Oreochromis niloticus: one gene and its partner. The protein of the gene in region 1 purifies or fractionates together with the protein of each later gene. This does not show direct contact. Links are inferred from orthologs where the notes say so. Each region holds a gene or a part of one and is shown in the gene's direction. Other genes may lie near its edges. The genes, in order: ranbp2 and protein bicaudal D homolog 2.

What was found.
Region 2: the proteins of ranbp2 (region 1) and protein bicaudal D homolog 2 purify together in Homo sapiens (affinity purification with western blotting; 3 studies listed by BioGRID and IntAct, with this or other methods). This does not show direct contact. The link is inferred for Oreochromis niloticus from reciprocal best matches to the Homo sapiens genes RANBP2 and BICD2.

Annotation. Positions count from the first base shown.
Region 1 is NC_031987.2:11,380,629-11,396,341, reverse strand, and holds the start of ranbp2 (E3 SUMO-protein ligase RanBP2), read left to right. Parts: upstream 1-8,513; 5' UTR 8,514-8,664; coding exon 8,665-8,736; intron 8,737-11,315; coding exon 11,316-11,383; intron 11,384-11,470; coding exon 11,471-11,582; intron 11,583-12,845; coding exon 12,846-12,998; intron 12,999-13,297; coding exon 13,298-13,528; intron 13,529-13,922; coding exon 13,923-14,065; intron 14,066-14,556; coding exon 14,557-14,752; intron 14,753-14,965; coding exon 14,966-15,106; intron 15,107-15,240; coding exon 15,241-15,400; intron 15,401-15,524; coding exon 15,525-15,706; intron 15,707-15,713. Other genes in the region: lims2 (LIM and senescent cell antigen-like-containing domain protein 2), read left to right, coding at 595-687, 2,178-2,226, 2,468-2,543, 2,897-3,038. UniProt on the Homo sapiens protein: E3 SUMO-protein ligase which facilitates SUMO1 and SUMO2 conjugation by UBE2I. Involved in transport factor (Ran-GTP, karyopherin)-mediated protein import via the F-G repeat-containing domain which acts as a docking site for substrates.
Region 2 is NC_031970.2:20,553,983-20,569,695, reverse strand, and holds the start of protein bicaudal D homolog 2, read left to right. Parts: upstream 1-6,969; 5' UTR 6,970-7,227; coding exon 7,228-7,467; intron 7,468-10,268; coding exon 10,269-10,481; intron 10,482-11,052; coding exon 11,053-11,205; intron 11,206-11,518; coding exon 11,519-11,983; intron 11,984-12,688; coding exon 12,689-13,684; intron 13,685-13,823; coding exon 13,824-13,975; intron 13,976-14,409; coding exon 14,410-14,641; intron 14,642-14,989; coding exon 14,990-14,992; 3' UTR 14,993-15,713. Other genes in the region: transketolase, read left to right, coding at 246-376, 463-546, 680-773, 1,116-1,238, 2,160-2,347. UniProt on the Homo sapiens protein: Acts as an adapter protein linking the dynein motor complex to various cargos and converts dynein from a non-processive to a highly processive motor in the presence of dynactin.

The DNA of each region.
Region 1 (15,713 bases):
TACAAGTTTTCTAATTAGTCTTTCAACTAAAAAGTGGATTTCTTGCCAAACTTTTTTCTTGGGGCCTAATCATACTTCCACCTTAATTTCAAACGAGGTGCTTTTCCTGACTTGACATTTAAGGGTATCTAGAGAGCTTTATTGTCCTGTGACATCTAGAGCTCTGTCTGAGAGTTTATATGTGCTACCAGAAAAAGATGCTGGCTACATATATATATAGTATTTATTTTGTAAATGAACGTTAGCATTTAAAAAGTGGATCGTAAAACTATCCACCAAAATCAGCTATTTAAAAAATCCATGCCCTCACATGTATTAATCAAAAATATGTTATATCTCGTGGCTGAGATATGATTTTTATTCATTACCGTCATAAAAATGTTGTATTTTCCCAATATCCTCTAGAGGTCACTATTCTGACTTCTCAACTCTCTGTATGGACGCAGTAACAAAACATTTGAAACGACTGATCTATTTATGTTCTGATAATATCTAAGCCGGACTGTGCTGCTACCTTTAACACAGTCTGAGTGTGGTACTGTACTGACTGATGGCTGTGCTAACCATGTGTGCCTGGCTTGGGTTTGCTTGCAGCATTTTGTGTGTGCTAAGTGTGAGAAACCTTTCCTGGGACACCGTCACTACGAACGCAAGGGCCTGGCCTACTGCGAAACGCACTACAACCAGGTAACACACACTGGTACTCGAAATATTGATGTGGAACACCAAAATAGAAATTGAAACATGCTAGTATGTTTAGCCTGTTGTGAAACTCCCATTTCTCTGTCTTAGTTTATGGTATGTGTGACTCTATCAGTGTCAGTAAGAGAGTTGACATTAGCAGTGAATGTATAAATATATATATATATATATATATATATATATATATACATATATACATATGCTTACTGGACACTTTATTGGGTACACCTGATCAACAAATTGGTGTAGCTGACATGAAAGCATCGCCCCATCTTGGCCTGTACCAACAGCTCAGGCTCCTGGTGTCATTTGAGCATCATTAAAACACCTACTTCAGTATTGTTCCTGACCATGCCCATCACTTTGTGACCACAGTGTACCCATCTTCTGATGGCAGCTTCCAATAGGATAACAGACCATGTCGCAAAGTTTAGATCATCTCAAACTGGTTTCTTCAACATGACGAGTTCACTGTGCTCAAATAGCCTTCAGTCACCAGATCTTAATCCAATAGAGCACCTTTGGAACATGGTGGAAGATCATAGATGTGCAGCTGACAAATCTGCAGCATTTGTGTAATACCATCATGTCGATATGCACCAAAATCTTTGAGGAATTATTACAGCACTGTGTTGAATTGGTGCCATGAAGAATTAAGGCAGTTAAGATTCCAAAAGGAGGTCCAACCAGGTACTAACAAAGGTGTACCTAATAAAGTGACCATAAGTGTATGTAAGCATTATGGATCTGTTCCAGATATACACATATTAGTTTTTTGTCCAGTGAGTCTATATAAAAAACCACTTGCACAGGTAGATATGTGTTACACTGAAAGAGATATTTCTCTTGTCCCAAAGCAATTAGCATGATCATGATCATAGATCTATAATATTATATCAAAATGATTACATTTTTTGGTGGACTTTAATTTTCTTTTATATGAGTTGGGTGCTTATATTAAACAGGACTAAAATCTCAATAATGAGATAAACACATGTAGAAGTGAGCCGAGCAAAAAGCTCAGGTTTCAAACGGGTCCAGATTCTCAATTTCTGATGTTTTTTCTACTATTGAGCTTGGCGCAGACTCCCATGATCGTAAGGAGTTTGCTATTATAGGCACTGATTTGGTGGGGAGCAATCAGGAAAGCAGGCTTTCCAAAAATTAATCAGGAGATCATTTTTTTCATCGTAAAGGAGCCTTAAAGCTCGTCTTTCTCATACGTGTATATGAGACAGGTTACATTAGTGTTCACTTCAGTGGCTCTCAAAGATGATTGTCAATGTAACAACTCCACCTAGTGTTAGAAAGCTGTAGTGGATCTTTTTTCTTTTTCACCCCAAATGCCTTGTAGCCTGCGCTTGTTTCTGTGCCTTCTGAGCACAGTACTGTGTGTCATGTGAGCCTCAATAAAAACCGATAAGATGTATCAGTGCATTGTTAACCTTTTGTTTCTCTCTCCTCGTCACATGCAGCTGTTTGGGGATGTTTGCTACCACTGCAATCGTGTTATTGAAGGCGATGGTGAGGAAGTTAATTTTAATAAATATAATGTATAATGGCTGTTTACATCAGCATTGTTTTTTGTTTTTTTGTTTTTTTACTTTTACTGCTTCCTTATTATATTGAATTTAACTTGATTTTCTTCTCATGTTTTGCCTTGAGAATTATTTGTAGCCTGAACTTCACACCAACATTAGTTTAATTTAAACTATAAGTCTACAATCTGCCTCATGTGGCTGCTCCTTCTGCTTTTTTTTCCCAGTGGTGTCTGCTCTTAACAAGGCGTGGTGTGTCAACTGTTTTGCCTGCTCTACTTGCAACACCAAGCTCACCCTGAAGTAAGTTTTGCAGACAATTCAAACTGAATTATGAATATTTGAAGATTCTCTGTAGACTTTCACATGTGATATGTCTGACAGTTTCTCTGTTTAGTCTATCACGTTTCTTTTCACTATCCTCCATCTGAGACTGTTTGCTGCTGCTACCAAACTGTTTTTTCTTACCTTTCTCTGTTGCTATGTCTCTGATGGCTTGTTTCTTCACCTCGCCTTCCTTTCATCGTCCTCCTGTCTTGTCCCACTTTTCCCCTTCCCTCTCCTTCATTCCTTTCCCTTCATCTTCTCTCTCTGCCCCTCCTCATGTCTTCCTCCTCTTTCACATTTCCATCTCTGCTTCCTCCCTGCTCTATCAGGGATAAGTTTGTGGAGGTGGATCTGAAGCCGGTGTGCAAACACTGCTATGAGCGCCTCCCTGATGACATGAAACGTCGGCTGGCCAAGCGAGAACGTGACTCAAAAGAGAAGAAGAAGAAATTGATACCCATGTGTCTGTGATCCCTCTCTTTCTCCTCTCTCCTTACTTCAGCTGATCTTTCCTTTGGTCAGTTTTCGTCTTCCTTGCTATCTGTTTCAGTTTTTTCCTACTTTCCATGCCCTTAGATCACTGATACACTGAGTTCAGTTGGCTTTCAAGGCATGAAACAAAAATACAAGCAGAGAATTGTAGATGACTGAGTGTATCTGAGTGACGTAAGACCGGGAACATTTCAGCAAAATGTTCTTTTCCTAGCCGGAAATGCTAGTAAGGATTTAAGCCGGTACTCTTGTAACCTCTGCTGTGCAAACAGGAAAATCAGATCAATCACAAGTTGAAGGGAAAGCTTTGTTTCATGGGTCTCCCAGTCTGTCTGGTGTAAGCCGCAAAGCCGTAATCATTTCCGGCAGCTTTCTGGCATCAGCTGTTGAAATTCCGAGGTCCTAACAGTTATGACACGTGCGCCGCTCCATACAGCGATTATCTACTTTGGGAGGGAAGGCTGTTCAGGGGCAGCTGGAGGAAATTGGTTAGGGAGCTGGCCAAGTTAGTAGAAGTGAACACAATCAGAAGGCACCCAAAGACCTCCTACATCTCTGTAAATATTTTCTTGTAACTCTGTGTCAGCACACACAGTGATTTCTGTCAAGGAAAACACAGGCAAGATTCTGTTCATTCAGGGAATTGTTATTCGTCAAAAGGCATTATGAATGCTCATGAATCCCAGTGCTAAAACAGACATAAATTAGGGCTGCTTGAAAAACAATGATCAGAATCACTTCATTTAACGTTGAGACTGCAATTATTAAAAGAGGGATGTGCGTTTCTCTCATCTTGATCATGTCTCAGCCTTGTAGGGCGTCAGTTTTTGTTATAAAGGGTGAGAAAAGATGAGGTCAAGTTGAAAGAAAGGCAGATGTGAAATGTAAATATTAGGTCAGAAGTCAAATGTGACATGATACTTTGAATGCAGAGGATAATGTGATATTTAGAATCCCTGGTATCAGTATCCAAATTTAAGTCTTAAGTTAAGACAGCTGTCTTCTTCTTGTGTATTGTCTTTAAAGATAAAAATATGATTAATTGCAGCACCCTACCAGAAACACGCATGGGAAGGTGTGCATCTTTGTCCAGGATTTGGGGTTTTGAAATAAAGGTCTGAAAAATAACATTCGAAATTCAGACGTTGCTACGTCCAATGTTCGCAGGAATCAGAGTTTTTATGATGGAATTAAAAATGTATTCAAAAAATTAGATTTCAAAAGTAATCTCGAGTCTCAGTAGGTCTGAGACTTGTCAGAAGGGCTTCTGAAGGAATGAGATCATTACAGTGATGCTACACATATCATGATATGTTACAAAATCCTCTCACCTGGAAACAATATCCTCTACTGATCACTGGCCAGTCTTCTGAAATACAACTGTTTCTCTTTCTTCCACAGGAACAAGTTTGTGGAGTTTGACATGAAGCCGGTGTGTAAGAAGTGCTATGAGAAGTTCCCTCTGGAGCTGAAGAAGAGACTGAAAAAGCTGTCTGAAACTGTTGCAAGGAAGTAAAAACACAGTGGAGCAGCTGGAGAGGGAAAGATAGATGAGACCATGAGGTGGCCATGTACAAGCCCAGAATTAAAATAAAGAATTTGTGTGTTTTGCAACTGCTATGTTGCATTTAGGTTGGTTATAGCTAGAAAGCATTGCACTTTCAATTTCATGTGCCTGCAGCCGGCAGCTCCGCAGTCACATTTTCGGTCAGACAGCTTTAACTTTGTGCCTTGTACCATTTTTGCAAAATTGCTCCACTGTGTGTTTTACACATGCCTGCTAATTTCCTGTATTTAAAAAAGTGACATATGAGTTTTAAGAGTACATAGAAAGCCAGAGGTAATATGATGACTTAAAAGCTTTGCCGCCACCTTGTCTTGTGATGCCAAAAAACCTTTATTGAAAAATATTACTGCTTCATTTCTATAACAATCAAGTAAGCCCAAAGAAAGAAAATGTCCCAAATGTGTAAATAACCTCAAATATTTCCAACTTGTATCATTTTATGTATTAGTAGTGTTTATTTCCATTAATATTATGCATAATAAGTATTTTATCTGCCTTTTTTTTGTTTGTTTTTTGGACCTACATTTTAATATTACACAACGGACTCGACCATCACCTGCAGTGTTGGATTGCCTTGTTACTGTATGTGCTATGCATCTTTGTGTGGCATGATCTCTGTGCAAATTGGTATTTATTCAGCATTTTTTTGCGTTTACAATCTGAATTAATCTAATACAGCCAAAGTGCCGAGGGCGAAATTTAGATTTATTAAATACATGTGAGTGAATAACTGTTACCTGTCAGTGTTCTATAAAACAATCCCTCCCCCGTCCCGATGTGCTGTCAACAAATATTGATCATAACAAGCATCTGAGCCACAGGATTTATTGAATGGTTACTGCAAACTCAGTGTGTGTTACAACATGACGGCTTGTGGCATGTACAGAGACCGGATATGGGATTGATGTTGAACATTTGAACGTTTCCTCTGTTGTTTGTAATCCAGGGAAAGTGATCCTCTTAGGGAGGTGTACCGACTTCCTCGGGGCTCAGACCCACTTAGGAAAGAAAGCCAAACTGGTCTCATTCTTGCAGAATGCTTCACATGACCTCCATTTTATCACAAAGCTTAGCTTAAAATACAAGCTCTATAGATAAACACATTCCACTATTTTATCATTATGAAGTGTATGTTACTGCTGTGCATTTCCGTGCAGATGGCACAACTTTCTCTATGTCATACAGAAGTAAAACTATCCGCTGGGCTGATTGTTGTGAGGCAGAACTTCGGCACCTCGAGCCACAAATAGTTCAGTGCATGGTTTTATTTGATACTTTACTACTCTGATGGACTGAGATGACTCTGTGCAAACAGATACTGCTCTGATACTGGATATCATCATTGCAATGTTTGTGAGCAGATTTATTCATGTTGGCACACCAAAGTGCATGTTCTTAACTTGAAATTTGGGAAGTTGTTTCTTATTATATTTAAAGTCATTCTGACACTTCATCGGAATAAACACATATGTCAATGCTACCGGTGTGTGTGTAATGATTTATTTGGTTTACAGCTTCTTACCATTCTCAAAGTGTAACGTGAAACCAGCAGCAGGCTCAGGATTCACAAGTGTTGCATAATGTTTAATGACACTCCAAAATTTCACATATGTTGCATTCGGGTCCACGTTAAATGGGAACATGCTTGATTTTGAGCTTCATCAAGTATATTAGCAGCTCCACATTATCATATACACACACATATGAAGTGACTCAAAATATCCCAACATCAGAGGACTACTAATGGACATTATACACATGTGTGCAACACTAAACAGCCATTAGCATCTGCAGGATAGTCAATATGACAACCATAATCTGAAACAGCATCCATCTAACTTCAGAAGTTATTAAGAGCACAAATCAATAGAGTTCAAGACAAAATTGTTGGCTATATCCAGATGTTAGCTAACTCTCACTCACATTCAGCTAACAGAAAACAATTAGAAATACAACTGCAACATGTTTGACTATTAAAATACCGGTTCAAAACATAAACCTGTACAATAAATATTTATTACTAGAATTATGCTGTAAGTTTATACAATGCAGAATATAAAACTTTTGGGAATAAAGTTAAAGATAAAAAATACAGGAAGATTAATCAGTGCACAGTATCAACTAAAGAAAGGCAACATCCAAGATGATACATACTTACAGACAAAAGAACATCAGTTTTATTAATACATATCTTCAGAGTACACCAGCTGGAGTATTTTCATTTATATTCTACCTCCTTTTGCCTTCAGCACTGCCCTAATTCTCTGTGGGATGAATTCAATAAAGTGCTGGAAACATTTCTGTGAGATTTTGGTCCATGTTGAAAAGATGGCTTATTTATTTTCAATAAATAAGAGATTACTGGTTTGATCACAGGAGAAAACAAAAAATCTACCAAATCAAATATGTAGAATTAACTGCTGCGGTGGCCCTTTTACAAGCTGCTGAGTAGTACTGACATGATAGCATCACGCAGATGCTGCTGATTTGTTCTCCTGTTCCAACACATCCCAAATGCGCTCTATTGGATTGAGATCTGGTGACTGTGGACGCCATTTGAGTGCAGTGAATTCACTGTCATGTTCGAGAAAGCAAGCAAAGAGATTATTTGAGCTTTGTGACAAGGAGAGTTTTGCTACTGAAAGTAACCATCAGAAGAGAGGTGCACGGACATGATTAGCAACAATACTCAAGACTGCTGCATTTCAGCAATACTGAGTTGGTACTAAATGGCCCAAAGTGTGCCTATAATTACATTACAGCACCACAAGAATCAGAATCTTTTTTAATGTCAATGGAACATTGAAGAATTAAAACAATTAAATCATGCTGAACAAGTTGTGTCTTCTCCTGGGATCAAACCAGTAATCTCTCTCCTTGACAGATCCATGCTTTCATATATTTTACACCAAATTCTGACTCTACCATCTGAATGTTGTAGCAAAAATCAAAACTCAACAGACCAGGCAACAGTTTCAGTCTTCTGTTCTACAATTTTGTTGAGCCTGTGTGAATTGTAGCTTCAGTTTCCTCTTCTTAGGAGTGGCACTCAGTGTGGTTTTCTGCTACTGTAGCCCATCTGCTTCAAAGTTCAGCAGGTTGTGGATTCAGAAATGCTCTTCTGCAAACCTTGGTTATAACAGGTGATTGTTTGATTTACTGTTGCCTTCTTGTCAGCTCAAAGCAGTCTGACCAGTCTCCTCTGACCTCTGGCATCAAAAAGTCATTCTCACCCAGAAAACTGCCGCTCACTGGATACTTTTTCTTTTTCTGACTATTGTTAGTAAATCCTAGATGTGGTTATGTGTAAAGAAATCCTAGTAGATCATCAGTTTCTGAAATCATACTCGTCGACTCCATCTGGCACCAACAACCACGTCACATGCAAAATCACCCAAATCATTTCTCCATTCTGATGCTCAGTTCATAATAGATGATGAATGTCTGTGTAGCTGATAAAGTTCAAATGGGCATTGCATAGCACAGCTTTCCCTCTGACAACTGTTACTCATTCAGGTGTGCAGAGGTTTTGATGAGAACACTTTGGAATAAACCGCTGACTAAAAAATGTTTTTTAAAAAAACTCCTTGACTGAAGCTTATCAACAGAAACAGACATGGAAAAATTTGCAAAGATATCAGCCTATAAAACTGGGCATGATATAGCATGATTTGTTTAAGTCAATACTATTGGTTACACATATACAGGGTTTAAAGATATTTAATTTATGTAACAAAATATTTATCAAATGAAGGATTAAGGCTTAATTGTTGGAGAAATTAGGATTTTCAGGTATTTGTAACAGAACCCTTCAAACTGAAATGCGTCAGTCTGCGTTAAACTGAATTCTTGTTCTCATTGGTTAAGAAGTCACGTGACAGCTGCCATTTGACGGCATTGAGACTGCGCAATATCATCATGGGGAGTTAACGTCAGGCGAGCTGATGTTACCGTCAGTTTTGTTTTAGATATTTAGTGAATTTCTGGTTTTCTATGTCTCACATTCAGCCGCTGTAGAAGCCCCTGACCTTGGAAGCTATGCGACGAAGTAAGGCTGACGTGGACTGTTACGTTTCCTCAGTACAGAGTTCCTCTCCCTCACTCAAAGAGGTAAGTTAAGCCCGCCGAGGCTAATGTTAGCATGCTGCTGCCATCATGTCACATCAGCCGGTATGAGGTACAACCTGTACACATGTTCAATGAACACTCGTTGCTTTTTTAACTACGATGACGGTATTTCGGTTGACTCATATGTCGTTCTCTGTGTAACCCCCGTCCCCCAGATAGTCTTAAAGACTGTAGCTAACCGGCCGGCGTGATGACGCCCCGTCGTGTCCTCCCCTTTATACTCGGGAAAATGCGCGGCATGGGATCCCTTGAACAGCGCCAGCTAATCAGCTATGCTAGTTAGCCACGATAGCGAGACAAAGCTAGTTGGATAGGTTGTGCAAGTTTCATTTCTCTGGAAAAGCTAGGTTTCAGTTCAGACAACAATTAAAAATGCTCGTTGCTTGATCGTATCAGGAGCAGCAACCCTAACTCTGTTCAAAAACTGGTGGTTTTAGTTTAATTGCAAACAGACTTGTCTGTTAATCAGGCAGAGTTCCAAGGTTTCTTGATTTGCTTTTGTTCTTTTTAATTATTATTTATTTGGATCGGATGTCAGGGGGGAAACAGTTACACCCACAGAAAATCAGAATATTTAATGAGAAATAAATACAATGTAAGAAAAACTTGAATGCATCAGAATTCAGGCTTATCTGTACCAGAGGTATTATGTGAAAAGTAGCATTGCTCAACAGTCTGAAAGATGCTTAACTGATAGCGATTAGCTCGAAAGTATACTGAAAGGACAAATGATGCAGAAATATATGTTAGTGTTATTATGAGATCATGAAAATTTGTTTTGTAGATATCCTTTTAATGTTGCAGCTGAAGATGTTGGTTTAATTGCTTATACATATCTACAACATGGCAGCATAATATGATAGTCGATCAGTCAATTACTTGAGTAAATGTGGTGCTATGTGGTCAACGGTCCTAACCATGCTCTCAAGTTGCTTTACCCTAGTCAGGGTTTTGTTTTTGCGTAATTCCAACGATGTTTTGGTCTTACATCAAAGTAAAGTCATCAGGATTGTGGTTTTTCATTGATGTGGTGTGTAGTTTAATGTACTCAAGCTTAGAATACACTTTGTGTCGCTAGTGATCAAAAGTAATTAATAAAAATGCACAGACCTCTAGAATAGAATAAACCTTTAATATTCCACGGATGATAAATTTGGGTGTTACAGCTCTTAGACCAAGGGGAATATAAAAGGAAGACACAAAGTGGTCCTATATACATAAGCAAACGAGGTTCGTATATATACAGGTAACAATGTACAGAAATATGTATAGAAAAAGTAAGGCAACACAGACTCTGTCTTAATTATTTGTGGAGCAGTTGTACTTGCATGCACAGTCACCCTCCCAGAGGTGTGTTTTGAGTCAGGAGAAACCTTGGTATTGTAAGATTAACAGTCTAGCCCAATTATATGTGTAGGGTTGCACCAGTAGAGCCAAAAATGTAGTTTTGTTTGACAATAGATTCACACTTCTACACATATACCTGTGGAATGCCTCCTTGTGCATTTTGTTGTGTACAGTAATGTGTGTAGTCTGGAGACATTTACCTAAAGAATTAAATCACAAGATTGGGTGTCATGCTGTTCAGAGCTTAAACCTGTATTATCATCAGTTAAATCATTCCTAAACAAACATACAGAAATTAAATGTTGGTGTGATTTGTAAGGAAATATTTATTTACATAGGACTTTTTAAGACAGGAATCTAGTTTTAAAAAGTGCTTTACAGGGAATTTAAAAATATATCAAATAAAAACAACATATTGCACAAGAGCATTACCCAAATGCCTGTCTAAATAGATGAGTTTTCAGCTGTTTTTTTTCTTCTTCTTCTTCTTCTTCTTTTTTTTTTTTTTTTTTTTTTTAAAGAAGCCAAAGAGTCAATAGTGCATAGAGGGGGAGGTAAACTGTTTTGACGCTAAGGTTTGGAAAGCGTGATCCCTCTTTGTATTTTAAATGGGTCTGTGGAATAGCCAGAAGAGCACTACCTGCTATCAACTTATTCTACGTTGTTCACCTGACACTGAAAAAGTCAGTGATAATAGTTGTAGTGTGGTGGGTAGGAGAAGCTAGCAGTAAATCTGACAATGGGTAATGCTGTAATCCGGATGGCTAATATGTTACTAACTAGCCTCTGGGAGGAATAATTTCCCAAAACTACGATTTAGTTAATTCCTCAGGATAAAAGATGTTTTGGGGGTTTTTTTGTTGTTGTTGTTGTTTTTTTTGAGCTGATCACTTGATCAAAACTGGATAATGAACAAAAATATCTTTCATTATTCTGATGTATTCCCAGTTAACAATCTACTTGAACCATTATAGACGGCTGTGATTTAACTAGGCATTGGCAGGTCCATATGCAGGATTTTTTTTTTTTATGGCTAAAAATGGGCCTTTGGGTTGTGGTACAGTTACTAAGCAGGTACTGAGTACTGGTAAGTATTTAAATCCCACTAAGCCAGATAACTCTGCAGGACATGTGTAATTGCATCTTCTCACTATCATAACAAGATGAATCCATTTCCTCATGCTGGTCCACATATTTTTTTTTTCTCTCCACAGAAGCCAGTCAAAGGGTTTTTATTTGCTAAATTGTACTTTGAAGCAAAGGAATATGATCTTGCAAAAAGGTAAGCATGTGAGCCTCTCCATTGTTTGACCCAATGCTTGTGTGTTGCTATATTGTTTGTAATTCCTGTCTTTCATGCTTTTCCTAGGCATGTGTCAGACTATCTCAAGGTCCAGGAGAGGGATCCCAAAGCACATAAGTTCCTTGGACAGCTCTACGAGAGAGAGGGAGACATCAACAGAGCAGTTGGATGTTACAAGGTAAAAAGAACATCTCAGTGGAAGCATTTTTCCCTTAAAAGTGAGTCAGAATGTGGTTCAAGAAATCATAAGATTCAGGTATGAAATGAGGAAACATTGTTTAAAGGACAAAATGATGAACAGCTTCCACAAACCCTGTATTTGCTGTCAGTTGCAATCTTTGATTTTCAGATTCAGCTTCTTTTTGTTTGAGAAATCAGAAAGATGATTGACCTAAAATTCCTCCAATTGTCTATGTACATAAGTGTATAATGTGTGTGGGGGTTTAAAAACTGCTCTGTAAGTGCTGTCTGTGCAATTGCTGATTCATGCTCACACCAATTTAAATGGACCAACCAAACTGGTATATTTACCTGGACACGAAAGGGAAATTACCCACATGCACTTTGAATAAATTTGCTTAGTTGTGATGAATGAATATAGAAAAATAATAGTTAAAAATAAGTATCCTCTTTGTTACTATGGGTCATTTCCCACAGCAAACAACAAGGCTTTAGATGTGATTTCTATCTGCCTTTTGGTGTGTGATTCTTTTTTTTTTTTTTTTAATGCACTAGGTAGTCTATCAAACTGAATGCTAAATGCTCTTTGTTGTTTTACTTTTTAAAAGATGAATCACCAAGCTCTCTCTGACATTCGGGAATCAATAATCAGCTTCCCAAAGGCACTGTTAGGTTTTATTGCTATAGCATCAAATCTAGAAGATGAATGATGACAGAAAATTGAGAAAAATAAACTGTGATTTATTTGCTCTCCCTTCTTGTAGCAGTAACTTTTAAGAACATTAAACTCACCTTGAGGGAGTTTTTTTTACTGATTCATTCGCACCTGAACACTAAAACTGATGTGTACTGTAATGAAGCTGGTTCTCAGTTAATGAGCTGAAACAAAGTGATTCAGAGTCAGTGCTGAGACTCATCAAAACACTATCAGCTATATAATTGGTGTACACTTCCAATCTTTTTAAATGCACTCAAGCTGTGCTCTCTCCACCTGTGGGAGGTGAAAACGGCCCACTGGTCTCTGTTAAAACACAGGGTTTTTTATGCACAGTTGGCTGACTGTAGTGCAACCTGTTTCTTGGACGTAAACGGCTCCAGTTGCTGCTGTAATAAAGAAATTAATAATCAGCACAATGTAACAAAGAAGAGGAGGTGATGAGTTTTTAATTCCTTAGTGTAAAGCAGGGAGAGAGAAAAAACTGGCAGAGCTTTTGATGCATATGTTCAGCTTCAGACTCAATGTTTTTCGCTTTTATTGCAGCGGTCGGTGGATTTGAACCCAGCCCAGAAAGACCTGGTGCTGAAGGTTGCAGAGCTGCTTGTCAGTAAGCAGGAGTGTGACAGCAGGGCAGAGTTTTGGGTGGAGAAAGCTGCAAAGTTGCTACCAGGAAACCCGGCGGTTTTCAACCTTAAGGTAAAGCTCCTCCTTTCTTCTTTAGCTCCAGTAACGTCCACTAAACATTGTCTTTGTCAGCTGTGAAGTCATTTAATCCCACTATTTTGGGTTGTTTAATAAACAGTTGTCTAGTTCACAGCCTGCTCTGTCCATCACTTTGCTAATTATTCCTAAATTAAAATTTCCAGTTTTCATGAGTGGGAGTTTTAATGTCATTTAGGTTTACAAAAACAGTCCAAGAAGAGGGTACAGCTTCATTAAAAGTGGAAAGAATGCCACACTGAATGTCTTCTGTTCATCGGTGCTGCTGCTTTTAGGAGCGCCTGTTGAGTCGTCAGGGTCAGCAGGGTTGGAACCGGTTGTTTGACCTCCTTCAGACCGAGCTGGCAGCGCGGCCGGCTGACGCCCACGTGAACGTGAAGTTGGTTCAGCTGTTCCGTCAGGATGGCCGGCTGGAAGAGGCTGTTAAACACTGCCTGGCTGCTGAGAAAAGAGCCATGCTGCGCAACAGTCTGGACTGGTACACTGAGGTGGTGCGCACACTGCAGGTTAGTATGGACTTTGCACTACTGTCCTGCTAAATTAAAGTTTACCTCAATAGGCGGGACCAGTATGCTTCAAGTACTTCTATTTTGGTCCTTTATTATACTTATCCTCCCACCTTTATAAAGAAAGAAAGAAAGAAAGTGTACTTTATTGATCCCCGTGGGGAAATTCCTCTCTGCATTTAACCCATTCACTCAGTGAAGCAGTGGTCAGCCTTTGGGCGCCCGGGGAGCAGTAGGGACGGTACTACCTTGCTCAGGGGTACCTCAGGGTAGCTGTTCAGGGGAATCGAACCCCCGACCTTCCGATCATGGGGCCACCACTCTACCTACTGAGCTATCCCTTCCCCTTATAAGTGCATAAACCTTTCTAAAGAATGGATAACCTTTGTTTCAGGAGTACCTGGCTCAGCCCAGCATCTTGAACAATGAGAAGATGAGTCGACGTATTCAGAGAGAGCTGTTGTTGGCCCACTGCAGCCTGCTGAGAATCACACTATCTGAAAGCAGCGTGCAGCCAAGTCTAGATGCACTTAGAGAGTAAGTCTGGTGCTGGATTGTAAAACTTGTACGCATGAATTTAAGAGAACTGGAATAATATCAGAAGCTTTGTTTTTTCACCAAAACCTAATTTCTCCCGTGTACTGGGTGACATTGTATTAAAGTTTAAAAAAAACAAAAAAACAAAGTTATATGGAAAAGTTAACATTCAGATTTTTTTTTTCTCAAACATTACTGATATCAGAAAACCTTGCCAACCTCATAAAATGTAATTGAATCACATTTAGTTCTGGTCTTTAGTAAAAGTTCAGTCTGTTTAGGTGTAACAGGTTGTTTTGTAGCTGTGTTAGGCGTTGTTTGCACCTCGATCTACAGGAAAGAGAAGCAAATAAGTCTCATGCTTTGACTCTTTACATGTCAAAAAGGCAAATTGTTGCAGCTGTTTCAACAAAGGCTAACGTTGTTGTTGTTAGTTGTGTTTTTAGCATTCCAACTTTTTTGTAAACTGTTCATCTGCATTGTGCTTGTAGGTTTGACCAAGCTATGCAGGCACTGAGCAGCATTGCAGGCCGCAGTGCGGACGAGCTCCTTGAGGTGTTTGTGGAGATGAGAGGGCACCTCTACCTGCATGCAGGCACGCTGCTGCTTAAGCTGGTTCAGGATCGTCAACAAACCTGGAGGGCTGTTCGTGACCTGGCTGCACTTTGCTACCTACTGGCATATCAGGTAGTGACACACCAAATGACCAGATTCATTAATTACTTATATCATCGTTACGTCACTTTACCTTATGTCACTTTAAATTTATTCCAGTAGTTGTACCATCGTGCAACTGTGCAGTGCCTCTTACTTTTTTTTTTGCCTGACTTGCAAAGGGTGAAAGACTTAACATTGCCATGAACTTGTTCAGGACCTAGTCGTGGTTTGTTTTTCCTCCAGGTCCCCAGACCAAAGCCAAAAGTGACCAAAAGAGATCAGACAGCCCCACAGCTTCTGGAGCTGCTGGCAAATGACCGACAGAGCCAGGCCGGCCACATGTTGTTCAATCTGAGCACAGATTCATCTGCCTTGATCAGAGAGGTCTGACCTTGTTTTTTTTCTGTGCATGGTATTATATGGATAATGTATATGTGATTTCACATGATTATCACTGAGGTGTTCTTATCTTAGTGTGTCAGTGTTTTATTTATGTATTTATTTTTTTCTCTTGGTAGGTTGTGGAGGCTATTGGGAACCGGAGTGGTCAGGACTCCCTGTTTGACCTCCTGCGGGGTCCGCAGGCCTCTGCTGGATTGTCTTTTATCGCCAATGATGACATTCATTCCCTTACTGCTATGGCTCCAGAGCTCTCTCAGCTGGCCAAATGGGACACTGGTACGAACCAGTTAGCTACCTGAATACTAAAGATCAGTCCTGTTGGTTTGTTTTCCCCTAAAGTTAATGAATTTGGTAGCATTTAGTAGTGAGTAGTATAATAATTTTGCTGCTTTCTCTTTAGGCTCCATCTTGCTCCACAGTGGTCAGTTGCAACATCTGAGCTGGTTGGGACTCCAGTGGAACCTTCTGGACCAAAGACCACCGCTGCGGGAATGGCTACAGCAGCTCTTTCCTCGGCTTACGCTGGAAACCTCTAAACTAGATACCAATGCACCAGAGTCAATCTGCCTGCTGGACCTAGAGGTAAGGT
Region 2 (15,713 bases), on another chromosome or scaffold:
CCTTGCCATTTACCCTCCTTGACCTTACAGCTATTACTCAAACTTCCCCCTTTTCTCCTTTCGTGTCTGCCCTGGAAGCTGTCAACAGGGAACCAAGTGTCCCTCAGTTAGTGCAGGTACACTGCATGCAGCCGAACTTTATGCTTGTGCACCTGCATGCTTCAGCTCACCTAACAAGTGGATAACTTTTGAAGATTTCCTCAGTGTTGAATGCATAAAATCAACTATAAATGTGTATGTTGCAGGAGAGGAGGGCCCTGCCCTGATGGGTCTGGAGGACGTAGCTATGTTCAGGGCCCTTCCCACAGCAACCATTTTCTATCCCTGTGATGGCGTGTCTACAGAGAAGGCTGTGGAACTGGCTGCAACCACGAAGGTACTTAAACAAAAATGGCAGTGTTACAGCTCCCCTACATGATCATCTATTGCGGTAATGATCTTTTCATTTTCCTTTTCATTTAGGGTGTTTGTTACATCCGAACCAGCCGCCAAGACTGTGCTATCGTCTACAACAGCAATGAGGACTTCCATGTTGGACAGGCAAAGGTGAGACGCTATTTGTGCTTCTCTTAAGACAGTGAGAGATAAACACATGAGGCAGAAATGGCAGATTATTGTTTCAAAATAATCACTCGAAATACTACAGCTTACAGAGGGTACATTTCCTTCTCTTTGACAGGTGGTGTACCAAAGCAAGGACGACCAAGTCACTGTGGTGGCAGCTGGAGTGACTTTGCATGAGGCCCTTGCTGCAGCTGAACATCTAAAGAAAGGTCCGCAAGATATGTGCCGACACATCCAGAACAATTACAAGAAAAGACATTGTAATCCGCTGCTAGCTGGTCAGATTTGACCATTTATATCTCTTTTTTTTTTTTTTAGAATGTGTCTGTTAGACCATCACTGTTCCTTAGAATAGGTTTTGAATGGTTCTGTGTTCAGTTTGTCATGTAAATGTTAGCCTGATCTTAGTTTTTGTGTTTCTTGCACAAACTATGCTTTCTTTATCAGGTTGGCAGAACTGCTATATTCTCCTATATTCAATCGCTGAGGTTCGGTTAACCGTATGATGTATCTTTATGCATTGTATTTTTCTACTAAAATTCATCTTTCAGAGAGGATCTCTGTCCGAGTGATTGACCCCTTCACAATCAAACCTTTGGATGTCAAAACGATCATCGACCACACACGTGCTACCAGGGGAAGGATCCTCACTGTCGAGGACCACTACTACGAAGGTATGTTTATATAAAAGTTGGTCGGATTTTGCATATTGCATGCCTCTCGCCAACCAAGCAGCAACAAGCTCAGTAGCATAATGCGGCTGCGCCTCGTCATTGGTGCACATCCTTGGGAGTGTTGTGGTGGCATGTTTGCATTGGTTCACTGATGTAGATGGGTTGTGCTGGCAATTGCTTATTGGCTGAGGGCTGAGACCGCCTGTCGTGTGCCTTCATTGCAGGCAAGGTATTGGTACTGTGGTGCATTTTGTAAGTGCGACAGCCATGGAGGCAGAGTGCTGTCAGATTTCCTTAACTAAGCGGGTGCCCATGGGGCTGACTGTGACCTAGATAGCACAGACAGCTATGGCCTGTGCCTGCTAAGAGAAAGGGGATGGGTGATGGCATGGACGAGGCTGGACAAAGGAAATTTAACAACTGTAATTTGTCTGATGTTGTGCATCTCATTCATTGTACATCTGGAACAGCTGTTGTGCAGCGTTCAAGGGGATCATTTTTACACTGAGCTGTAATGATTTTTTTGTTATCCCTTTATGTAAAGTGTGCACAGAGACTCAGTGTTTTTGGATACTGTAATGGGAACCAAATATGCTTGAACTTCCCGCTCCATCTTTTTATTCTCGGACACAATTGGGCAGTACTTCAAAATTACAAATATAGTACTTGCTACATTATTACATCTACAAGAAATAATGTAAAACAATATCATTCAAGGGCATAATTTTTCTATATAGCTACCTTTATTTCATTTCATTTATTTACTTCTGAATTCAGGACTTCACACACACAGCCCGAGATGACCATGTTAGAAATGTCCCATCTTTATGACATCACATTGACCAGACAGTTAGAAATGCCTTTAAGTGAATTTGTCTTTCACATTTGTCTTTTATATATTCCTTTGTTGTTTTTTCACAGGTGGTCTTGGCGAAGCAGTGTCTTCAGCAATGGTCAATGAGTCTGGCTTCAGTCTGCACCGTCTCGCTGTGTCCCACATTCCTCGCAGTGGAAAACCCCACGAGCTGCTGAAGATCTACGGTATCGACCGTGATGCCATTTCCCAGGCCATTCGTAAGATGGTCAGCAGCTCTACCAATGCCAAGTAACCACCTACCTATCCAATTACACCCCTGAAGATAAGGCTAAGTAGTCAAATATGTTTTCGATTCACATGGCACCCAACTCTTTGATTTCGTTCACAGTGAATACCCCTAAGTGTGTAGGCTACTAAAGTAATGTGATTTTGTGCTGTACACATTAGAGTTCCATGTTTGCCTTCCTTTTTGTGTATTTATCACCAAAACTGAGACACACAAATTCATGCAACATGCATATCCTCACTGATAATACCAGCGTTGTTATAGACCCATTTCAATGATAGAAATGTGGACATAACTGACATTTTCATTGGTGGATGCTCACTATTAAAAAAAAAAAAAAGTCCGGTATTACATGTCTGCTGTGTGATCCTCTAATGTGTTCTTAATGCTCCTGGATTCATTCAACTGGCAGTGGTTTTATATTGTTTTGCTATAGCTTGTAATACTGAGTGGGGCATAGTTTTCAAGTCGGTGTTTATCATAGAGTGTGTGTGTCAGACAGAAACTAAATGAGTTGTTGTTGTGAAAGACTTTAGGAAACAAAGTGAAAGAAATGTGTACACGTCATAAAGAGCAGTCATGCAGAGCCAGAATTTAAACATTCAGATGATTTCACTTTCATTTTTGTAGTTTTTAAATTTGTTTCTATTCAGCAATGTCTTTTGTTATTGAAATTTCAGTTACCGTAAACCAACACACCTCAGTGTTCATTTGTGCTCTAGCACTGCTTTTGGACCTCAACAGCAGTGTAATCTTTACACAACGTGGAGCAAAGAAGAGCCACCAGTGCTGATAGAGGATACAGTGGGCTGTGATGTTGAATAGCTAGTTACGTCCAGCGTGTCAGCCTAAGAACAAACACTTTCTTTGTTACTTGAAATTTTGTATGTACCATACTTTCATGTAATAAAGCCCTCTGCATTTGACTTTTACCATTTACAATAGTTTCTGTTCGCCTTTGTGTTGACGTGTGTTATTTAAGCACTGCTCATAAACAGCAATCTGCAACTATAATGGGAAAGTATCTATGAAATTTATGAACAGCCATCAGTGTTAGCATGCATTGGTATGAGACAGTCCCATCTTATGAAAGTCAGATGAACTTCAGTGTACTGGTATAATATACATTCACAAGTTTGCAGAGACATTTATAGTGGAAAAAAAGAGGAAACTACAGTGTTTGTTTCTACAGTGACATAAAACGTCACCATCTCATCATCTTAAATACCACTTAAATAGCTTCCTGTAAATCCCCCCACTGTAATTTTAAAATCACCACCACCAGGTTCTCGTTCTCTCTCTCTGCTCCCTGTTCAAAACAAACAAATGCATTTTTTTGGGTCATACAAATCCCAACTTTCAAAAACATTTAAAAACATTGAATGAATTCTGCAGAAGTGCTCCTAAAACTTGTACTAGCATGCCCCCTTCAGGAGCGAATAAAAAAAATAATGACATCCACCACCACACAATTCATATGAGTCATAATCGATTAAAAAAATGAGTTTAATATTTAGTTAAATGAAGATCAGAGCCATAATATAAGAAAACCCGTGTTTGTTTGTAGATCAAGCATTCTGACTGAACATCTTTCCTCTCCATATTTCCCACTGGCCTTCTACACTCTAAACTTTGATAAGCACTGCTCTTTAAACAGTCTGTATTCTACAGGAAGAATGTGCAAAAATAGTTTTTGAAGAGGACAAACCTCAGAGAGCTGTATTTCCGTTTTGCTCCTCTAAGAGCAAACGTTATGATTCCACATCCATACGATAGTGTGTAAACTGAAAAACACATTATTTAACCACAGTTAAAACAGTATATCCCCTGAGTATCTGAATATTCCATGTATTATATAAAGTCTTATATTTAAAGTATTGTGGTCTTACCATGATATGAGTGGAGGTGCAAGAAAGCAACAAATAGTGCAACAGCAAATCCCCAGTAGGTATCTAAGGAGAGTTTGATGGTAATGTTTAGCTTTTATACAAAACCAATCTAAATATGGACTCTGATGTAAGATTAGGATTCTGTCTTTGATATAGCAGCGGGAAGTACCTCTGTTGTCGTAGGGAGCACCTTTACATCTTTTAGTATGGGCAGGCAGGTCTGAGCAGGGTAGAAAAGTCAAGACAGACATTGTGACAAGCAGAACCTGCAGTGCATTATGTAAAATTACATTTTTCTTTTTGGAAAAACATTTCGCTTTAAATTTTGGTGTGAATTTTATAAAAAATTCTACTTACCAGTAAAAATGCCCAGAATCTCAAACGCTATGGTGCAAAATATACCAAGACATACTGGAACTGCGAGTGCTGAAAGTGAAAGCAAAAATAATAAATGGGTCGTTATTCAGTCTTGGCTCAGCCAGAGGTTAATTACTTTGAACAGCGGCTTAAAAAGTGTAACTTACTTCGAAATGGCCTATAGAAAGCCATTCCACATCCCAGTCCAAAGCAGATTGAATAGAAATGGTAATATTTATCTGAAATGTTCAGAATAATAGGTTTCAAATGAATATTCTACAGAAAGGAACATCTCTGCCAAATCTGTTGATAATAAATAAACATAATAAATATACATACAGTGTTGATAAAAGTCAAAAATTAACTTCCTTTTGTACTCCTGAAAAAGAAATGATCAATAGGTTGATGGATAAACATACAACATGCTGCTGATAATAGGAAATAAGAAAAAACAGCATGTGAGAGAAAGTGAAAGCAGCAATGTACACACTGTTTAGACACACTGTTATAAATATAACAATGTGCCTACACAGAGCAAGAGCTACAATCGTAGATAGAAAACCTCAGCGAAAGGCAGAAACACAGGTGTACACACCATTTCAGCTCAGCTGCTCCTGAAGTCCCCAGGCAGGTGTAGCAATACAAAACAATCAGCATTCAGTAGACAACTTCCTCAAACTACTGCCAAGGACTGTCACTACCATGGACGGAAGTCCCGCTGACACAGTTTTTCTTTCACATTCACGTGTGTCAAAGGTTAAAAACAATAAGACAGTGCTCTGTCACCTTGTGAACTACTAGATTTGAATCATGTCCTCAGTTGTTTGGCATTCAAATAAATTTTTTTTTAAAGCATTTTTTTTTTTTTTTACTGTAATTTACACATAAATACACAAAAAAGCTGACAGTCTTTGCACTCTTTGATCACATAACCACAACCTGGTGTCAGTCCACGTAGTTCATGAGCAGATTTAAGTCAGGGATAGAGACCTTCTGACCATTTAACAAGACTTCTAAAAGTACTTAATTGCCCGCTACTTTTATAATAAACTTTTTCCATTTTCTAATAAAGAAGGAAAATAAACAAAATATTAAATATTTTTTTGTGATTTTTTAAAATATATATATATATATATATATTCATTAGCCCCCTTTTTGTCAGCTGTACATCCATGACCCAAATCTCCCATTGTATCACATCCCAAGGGTGCTCTATTGGATTGATATCTGATGACTGTGGAGGTCATTTGAGTAGAGTGAACATGTACAAGAAACCAGTTTGAGATCATTTGAAGATGGTTATCCTGCTGGACACAGTCAATAGAAGATAGCCACAGTGTAAACAGATGGACATGGCAAACAGCAGAATTCAGATAGACTGTGGCATTTAAATGATGCTCAGTTAGTACTAAGTACCCCAAAGTGTTCCAAAGAAAAAATCTCACACACCATTGCGCCATCAGCATTAGCATGAGCAGCTGATATAAGGCAAGATGGATCCATGCTTTCATCTTATACCAAATTCTGTCCCTACTATCAGAATGTTTCAGCAGAAATTAAGACTTATCAGATCATGCAATGTTTTTTCCAGTCGTCTATTGTCCAGTTTCCTGTTCTTAGCTGCCACTTGTGTGGAACCCGGTGTGGTCTTTTGCTCATCTTCTTCAACGTTGCACGAGTTGTGCATTTAGAGATGCTGTTCTGCACACCTTAGTTGTGGTGAATTGCCATTTGAGTTACTGTTGCCTTCCTATGAGCTTGAAGCAGACATCAACCATGCTCACTGGATATTTTCTCTGTAAATCCTAAAGATGGTTGTGTGCGATAATCTCAGTAGAGCAGCAGTAAAGTACTCAAACCAGCCCGCCTGACACCATCAATCATAAAACTTAAATGAAATTCACCTAACTCACCTTTCTTCCACATTCTGATGCTCAGTTTGAACTTCAGCAGATAATATTGGCCATGTCTACATGCCTGGATGCATTAAGTTGCTGCCATGTGATTGGCTGATTTGATATTTGCGTTTATGAGCAGTTGAACAGGTGTACCTAATAAATAAAGTGACTGAAGATCATATTTCTATAATTAACTAATCTATTGTTCATTCGACAAGTGAGTATAACGAAAATACCCATAGACTCTAATAAAGATCCTAATTCCCAATGTAATTATAGTTGCAATTTCACTATTGATTCTCTAGATGGCGTTTCAGTAAACTGTGGGGTCCTGTCTCGACAGACGCAATGCATTCTGGTACTTGTAGTCAACGCGGCTTCAGAAGCAAGGAGTACTTGAGGTGGCGCGCTTCACTTAAAACTACATTTCCCTTCGTAGTCACGCTGATTTGAATGCCGTGTAGGGGGGAGCTTTTTTTTTCTAATCGATGATCTCAACTGAAGTTTCCTCTGTCAGCTTCAAGAAGGGACAGAAAAATATCGAGAATGAGCAAACTGTTGTCCAGTTTAAGCTCCGTCGAGGTCCGCAGTGAGAGAAAGCCCGGGAAACTAAACACAGTTTAAGCCCAACAATGCGCCCCAAACAAAGAAGGCAGTGATTTGCGGTCTTGGTGGTTTGCTCCGCTGCTCCCGCTAGTCAGGGCTGGGTCCCGTTACAGTTGGGAGTCGGCGGCTCGCCAAGATGTCTATGGAGGAGCAGGAATATCCTGAGGCGGTACTGGTGACAGAAGCCGGGCCGCAGTGGCTCCAAGCCGAAGTGGAGCGTCTGACCCGGGAGCTTCGCGAAACGACCCAGGAGAAGATCCAGGCGGCTGAGTATGGGCTGGCGGTGCTGGAGGAGAAACAGCAGCTAAAGCAGCGATTTGATGAGTTGGAGACGGACTACGAGACGGTCCGACAGGAATTGGATCAGCTGAAGGAGGTAACCCGAGGTCACCGCCACGCAGCCAGATATAAGTCCTGGCATCAGTCAGTATGTGAAGGCGAGGAGAGCAACTTAGTGCATGTTATAATAGTAGCACGGTGGGAATTTAGAGTGACATCGGGGATCAAACTAGAAGCAGTCGGTAGTGGGGTTTGCTTCCTCTGAGCCCCAGCCCCATGTCTATTTATATCCCTCCTGCCTCCTCAAATATTATATGAAGTTTGAAATATGCATAACCACCTCCAAGCAGAAATATTGCAGTGTTACCTAATGTTGCCTCGCCTTAAAGGATGAAAACTGTCATTAGTTTGGATTACTTGCCTTTACTTGCTCCAAAGGCTGAGGCCTTGAAATCAGACTGTAGCTGCAGTGGCTTATGTCACATTTAAGCCTGTTTGGCCAATTTGCTGTTAACCTGTTTAAAAATAACATAGAAGTTTTTCCAATGGTGAAATCACTAAAAAAAGAAGTTAATAACCCTGAATATCTGTGTTTCTTTTCATCTCCTAATAGCTTGTCTGTTGAGACATTTTTAACCCACAATGTCAGCCAACCCCTAGGCCCTTCAGTTTCACTGTAGAGGAATAACCTCTACAGCTAAATATGACAGGTGGGCGAATCTATGAATCTAGTAAACATTAAGCTAAAGAAAGATAACTTGGCAACACTTTTTCACAGCAACTCATAAGACGCACCACCAGCCACTAAGATCCTAACATGTGGGAAAATCTGTCTGTATTTCATTAGAGAATAAAGAAGTGTGTGTGTTGGGGGTGGTTGGGAACTTCCCTTCAGTTCAGTCTTAAGACTGTTGTCACATCCAGTCTGTCAGTCAGTAGAGGAAATGCATCCTAAAGCACTTCCACATTGCTGTCTGTCAGCTGTATGTCTAAATGTCCAATTTCTATTATTAGTGTCCTTCAGTGTTTGTGTTCACGTGAAATGGTGATAGGTCATTGTGTGTAGGCTGGGCTTAAATGGGTCGCAGTCTTATTAATACCTTTATACAGGAAATCTAGTCTAATATCATGAAATGTAAATTAAAAAGGAGGATGTGAGATTTTTGCCACTACCGGGAATTTTCTGGTTTATAGATTATAGTTGCATCACGAAGTGACTAATTGTTGTGGTCATTTACTTAGTATCTCATGACTGTGACAGTTTCCCCTTACTACAGTACATCGCTGAGTAGTGAGGTAGGTAAAGGAATCGTCCATCCTCGTCCTCTATCAGCCTCCTATCGATTCACATCATCATGACTGACCATGACTATGATCCTAGTTACACAGATCTGTTTGTCTGACTGAGAATTGGCCGGAAAAAGACATCTAACTCTACAGTGGGTTCCATTTGCTGTTACGTAACTGTTGACTTAATGTGTGTTTGGCTGTTTAGTAGGTAATTGTGCAGATATGGCATCAAATTATTCATCAGTTTACTGCTATTCTGAAAATTAGTTCACATTGCACCTGCTTAGTAAAACTATTCAAGTGACATTTTGCAAAAGATTCCAAAGACTGTTCCTAGTAGCTAGTTAAACATTGAAAGTAAAACACATGCTGCAGCTTTGGGAATATTGCTTGCCATTTATCCAATCTGTTTTAAAGTAGATAAATATTTATTTTATAATATCAAAGCAATATCTGTACAGATTTGTCTTTGATGATTATTTGAACAGTGTTTTTTAATTGCAGAAAAACACAGACCTGTCAAAATGTCAATAAAATTAAAATTTCTGCCAGATTTTGAAATTTACATTTGAGTACTTTGTAATCCTCAAGTGACTGAACTGTTTTACCAAGTGGTGGTCATGTATGAAGCTAGAGTATTTGATTTTATACTGGATACTTTTTTTTAAAAAGATTCTATATTTTAACATAATATTCTATCATTTATTTATGGCAGATATGCTGCAGTGCTCTATTTTTATTAGTTATGGTTTTATGTATTACTAGGCTTCAAGCATTTACAAATACACTTGAAAGCAGTTAGTTTTGTTGTTTATGGCCTTGTAATTTAATTATCAAAAACAATGAAAGTCGTCACATCCACTTTTTTTAGTCTATCTTTGTGATTATGCAGATTGTACTGTTCTGTATCCTCTAGTAGAGCATGACTGCTGTAAGAGTGTCACTTCACTATTGTAGTTTCTCACAAACCATCTCGTATTCTGTTACAGTATAATTGTTGTCTCTGCTAGTTTCAGTATTTATCGGTATTTCATGTTTGATGTTTTTTGTGCTAATGAATGTCTACATTTCATTTGGGATCCATAAAGGCTCTGTCATCATCATCGTTAAATAGAGAAACAAATTCATGTTAGGAAACATTTTATCATTAGAAAAATCAGTTTGGCCAAAATTGTTGTTTGAATAAGTTTCAGATGTAATCTGTGTTTGCAGCAAAACTCTTCTGTAACAAAAAAACCCAAAGAAATAAACACAGTGAATGTAACATGTAACCATGCATCCCCAATTTAACTACAATTTTATTTAGAGTGATGAGTAAGAACCGATACTTATCGTGTATATTTCCTTATCTGTGGTTTCATTTCCTCTCTTGAGATGGAGAATTTTACTTAGGTCATTGTTACTAGAAAGAACTGTCCAGTACCCCATACACACACATTTGTGATATTTTCTGAAATAGTTATCAAATTGTGAAGATCTTTATTTACTGAAGTCTCTAACTAGTTATTTTGGCCATGCTCGTGGTTGTGTGCATGTGTCTTAAAGCAGGTTTGTAATGAATCGTTAATCAAACATGTTTGTTCTATTGCTTTTTGTGTCTGTCTTTAGGCCTTTGGACATGCTTACTCAACCCACAGAAAGGTGGCAGCAGATGGGGAGAGCAGGGAAGAGTCATTGATACTGGAGTCTGCCAGTAAGGAGGCTCTCTACCAGCAGAAGGTCCTGGAGTTACAGAATGAGCTCCGGCAGGCCAAAGCTTCCCTCGCCAGTGCACAAGCTGAAAATGACCGCCTGTCATCCATTGCCCTGGAAATGAGAGAGGTAGGTATTGAGAGTGCTGCAATATGAATTTCTTATCACGATTTATACTCAAATGCTCACTTTAACTCCTGTTGAGCATTTTCTTATCATAGTATATAGTAAGCCAAGGGTTGAATCTGCGTCTTTTATGTGTCATAATCGGAGATCTGCTATTTGCAGCACATTTGGGAAATCAATGAAAGCTTGTAATGCTAACTGAAGTTGACTTGTAGACTACGAAAAGTTGCCAGTGTTGGTTGTGAGAGAGCTGCTTCTTATCATGGGGGAGGGCCAGTTTGCACGGTTGCACTGAGCCCAGCAGGAAAGATGATGTAATGGTCCACAGTGAGTGACACAAAGGATGTCCTCCACCGGGGCTCTCTGTAGAATGAATTGGTAAGTGGACCATGTCCTCCTTCCGTCATTGCACATGGCTGCCAAAGACTTGTGGCATGTGAAGCACTCTTGCCTTTATTTTAACTCATTTGCTGAACTATTGCAAGCGTGTAGTTTGTGATTTACACTGCATTTGCTCATGGTGAACATAGGTTTAAATTAAAGTTCATTCAGTTGTCCCCGTTCTTGTGTGCAGAATTCAGAGCTGGCAGAGCTGCAGCGCAGTCAGCTGCGGGATGACATCAGAGAGTACAAGGTTCGGGAGGCTCGACTGCTGCAGGACTACAGCGAGTTGGAGGAGGAGAACATCTCACTTCAGAAACAAGTGTCTGTGTTGAAACAGAACCAGGTGAGACTGGCCATAAAACTCAAGTTTTGTAGTGGGTGGAAATCATTCAGAAATAGCTGTGTTGTTCATGTTTTTATGAGTCAGACTAGCCATATTATTATTTTGGTTCTAATATCGCTACACAGTCATTATGTCATTTCCTTACAATTTAAAAATATGAGCACACACCAAATTTTACATTCAAAAAATGGGTCTGCGTGTAATATTTTGGCCAACCATGATGCACTTATGCCTGTTTCACAAATTATAACAGATGCTGCTTACTTGTGTAAAAGTATTAGCTGCGTTATTTATATTTTTGCTGTCTCTACAGGTGGAATTTGAAGGTCTAAAGCATGAGATCCGCCGCCTGGAGGAAGACACCCAGTGTCTGCACAGCCAGCTGGAGGAAGCAATGCGTCTGAGGGAAATTGCCGAGCGGCAGCTGACGGAAGCTTTAGAGACCATCAAGACAGAGCGTGAGCAGAAGGCCTCGCTGCGCAAAGAGCTCTCCCACTATATGACCATTGGCGGCTCCGTGTACAGTAGCTCTTTCAGTATTTCCATTGATAATGCCAAACTCCACGAGGACCCTTCAGCCATCAATGAACCGGACAATGATGATCTAATAAGAGGGTTTGAGAACGGCTTGGTTAAATTGAGCGAAAGTGATGAAGACAATAGAACTGCAGTGAACAAGAGAGGAGAGGGCTTCAAACCAGTCCCTAGCTTGGTGGACGACCTGCTGAGTGAGCTCAACATATCAGAGATACAGAAACTGAAACAACAGCTGGTGCAGGTATGAGATCCATCAGATGCACTTGGCTTAAGAGCTATCGTTTTCTGACTGCAGCATACCTGATGCCATGATTTCTCATTCAGTAAAAAGCTTAAGTTCTACTGTAGATGTCGTAGAAAGGCTGCCATGCTATTTTCACTAGATGATTATCGTGGCCAAAAGAATTTAAGATGTTATCACAAGAGTTTTGAGAAAACAGGAAATGCTATCAGTCTAATGCATCCCTAACTTTATTTGTCGCTGTGTATTCTGTGGATCTAGAGCGTATAAAGGGCAACTGGGCTAAACCAGCATAGACAGATGTCACCCATGTGTGCAGTAACTCAGTTTGTATACAAAATATCATTCATACAAAATAAAACAGCACGCCAAACTACAGTTACTAGATAAGAACACCACAAACTGTGTGGGGTTTATACAAATCTACTAGAAAAGTAAATGACAAACTAAGGAGCTGAACTAAATCTGTAATGTAGTGATACTAAATGACTAGTAATCATCAGGATTGGCAGGTCACACTGAGATAGCTATCATTGGGTACACCATTAACTGAGTCACTCAAAAGTTCCTGAAAGGTTGTTAAGAAACTTTAATTGCACTCTGTCACCTGGCCAAAAAGGCCGTTCCTGTTTTATTCTTTCTCTTTTTTATATATATAACGTGGCCTAGCTGACTAATGAACTCTTTATATCTGTGTTTCTGTAGGTTGAGAGGGAAAAAGTTGCCCTGATCAACTCTCTGCAGGAGAGCCAGAAGCAGCTGGAACAGGCCTATGGGACTGTGTCCGAGCAAAAGCAAACGGTCAACAGGTTGACTGAAAATCTAAGTGCAATGAGGAAACTTCAGGCCAGTAAGGAGCGGCAGTCTGCCCTTGACAGTGAGAAAGACAGGGACAGCCATGACGATGGAGACTACTATGAACTGGACATTAACGGGCCTGAGATTCTGCAGTGTAAATACACCGTGGCAGTGTCTGAAGCTGGAGAACTGAGACAAGAGCTGAAAACACTAAGGGCGCAATACGAGGAGTGTCGAACCCAATATGAAGATGAGCGAGCGCGGCTGGAAAGCGATGTCCAGGACTTGAGGGCAAAGCTGTCGTCCTTGGAGAAAATTAGCCAAGCAGATAAAGCAGCGTTGTCACGTCTGGAGAGGGAGCTCTGTCTGGCCAACGAAGCTGCAGGAGAATCACTTGGCAGCCTTAATGTGGCGCAGGATGAGCTCGTAGCCTTCAGTGAAGAGCTGGCCAACCTCTACAACCACGTGTGCATGTGCAACAATGAAACCCCTAACCGCGTCATGCTCGACTATTACAAGGAAGGCAAGGCCATTGTAAGAAAGGGGCAAGAAGCAAAGGATCACCAGTCAGTACTTCTCACTAACGGGTTAATCAGTGAGACTGAATCTGGAAAGTCCGACTCCAGCAGCGCAGCAGTTACTGCAGCACACGAGCACCGGCCGGAACCCATGAACATCTATAACCTTGTTGCTATTATCAGGGACCAGATCCGCCACCTGCAGCAAGCGGTGGACCGCACCACAGAGCTGTCACGTCAGAGACTTGCCAACCTGGAGCTGAGCACAGTGGCTGACAAAGACAAAGAAGCGTGCATGGAGGAGATTCTCAAACTGAAATCCCTGCTTAGTACCAAAAGGGAGCAGATTGCCACTCTCAGAGCTGTTCTCAAGGCTAACAAACAGGTGAGAGGATGGTTTGTGTATGTGTCAGGGGAACGATGTTTATTAATGCGCACACAGAATAGAATAGCGATGCAAAAACCACAGAATTAAAAAATTGCAGAACTTTGCAACATTAATCATTTTATGTTGTTCCCTTCAGACAGCTGAGGTTGCTCTGGCCAACCTCAAGAGTAAGTATGACAGTGAGAAGACTATGGTGACTGAGACTATGATGAAGCTCCGTAATGAGCTCAAGGCTCTGAAAGAGGACGCAGCTACGTTCTCCTCTCTCCGGGCCATGTTTGCTACAAGGTACGACACATACTTTAAATGTAAATCAGCCATTATGTACATAAATTGGGCAAGTATAATTAAAAAAAATAAATCCGTTGGCTCAGACCAAACACATCCTTCTCTGTTACAGGAGAAATTAAAAAGAACATTGATATAGATTTGTCATATTTCTGCTTCTTAACTCGAGAGAAAATATTTTGCGTTTCTGTGTATTTCTCTGAGAAAGATGCAAAGCATTGTGGGAGCAGTCTCATGTAATACTTGTGCAGTTAGTTAGCGTGGTAATCATCCTCCCATCTGGAAAATGCAGTCTGGGGAATCCTGACAGCCGCAGTAGTTTGAGGCAAATTGCTCCACCTGCTGGCAGTCAAGTTTACCCCCCTCTTCTCTTCTCTTCTCTTTTCTCTTCTTTTCTCTTCTCTTCTCTTCTCTTGCGTCTTTTTTCCTCTCAGGTGTGATGAGTATGTTACACAGCTGGATGACATGCAGAGGCAGCTGGCTGCTGCCGAGGATGAAAAGAAGACGCTGAACTCTTTGTTACGTATGGCCATTCAGCAAAAGCTCGCATTAACTCAGCGCCTAGAGGATTTGGAGTTTGACCATGAACAAGCGCGCCGCAACAGCGCCACAACAGTGGGTGGCAAGGCCAAAACGAAGGGCAAGGGAGGCTCTTCCAGCCGCAGTGTAAGTCACGAGCTGTAATGCAGAACGACCTCTAAGGCACAAAATTTCAGCTAAGGCCAGTTCTTCTAGATGCTTTCAAAAAGTTTAAAAAAAATGCAGCATTGAGTTATTTGTTTGGGTTTTTTTTAACCTTTTTTGGTGTTATGAGCACATGACGTGCTAAGTATAAGCAGGTGTAATTTAATGTGGAAAGAGGAAGAACTTGTCCCCTGTAGTAGCCTAATAGGCTATTGATGGTTCATGACTGAACCCTGCATGCAAAGCACACCCAACACCTGTGTTGTGTGTCTCACTTAATGCAGGAGAAATTGAAATTAATTTCATTTTTTTCCTGTTTTGTCTTTGCAGTAAACTCATGAAGCCAAGTGTCCTTAACGAGGTCCGTCAGGTTATGTATGTCAGTGGCCAGTTGTCTGCTCTCCTGGTTTCTCCACTCTCAATCACAGTCCATATCACCATGTCACTACTAAGACGAGAATATGTCAAACAGTATTAGCCAAGAGCCTTGTTTTAGAGTGCCAAAACAGCTATTTAAAATAGCATCAAATTCTATGAAAACTGCAGAAAATAACACACCAGCTACCCGGTGCAGTCCATCAGTCTTCCAAAATATGAACCACTATGATTACTCAACCGGTTGAAGGGTCACAATGGGTGTTTTGTGGGTTACTTAATGCCTGTGTTACCCTGACTGAGCACTTTTTTTGTTTTACGTATTTGCTCCGAGCTTATTCCACTTTCTAAAATGATGCTAACTGTTTCAAGTATTGTATAATGTCTGTATTCTGTGTGCATGCTTGTCTTCCAACATACCTTTAACCTTATTTATTTCATAGCAACAAAGTCACAGATTGCTTTTAAAGCCACAAGTAAGTCTCTGATTTTGATGTCCGTTGGCCTTAGATTTAGTATTTGACATATACTGACAGCCAGAATTCTTGATAACCGTGTCTTCTGTCGTGCTGTATTGTCATAACTCTATGATCCTGCAAATATGAAGCTTCAAATACGGGATCTTAACTACATTGTGTATCACTATGTTCCTAATAGATAAAGCAGAGCTGTTACAAAT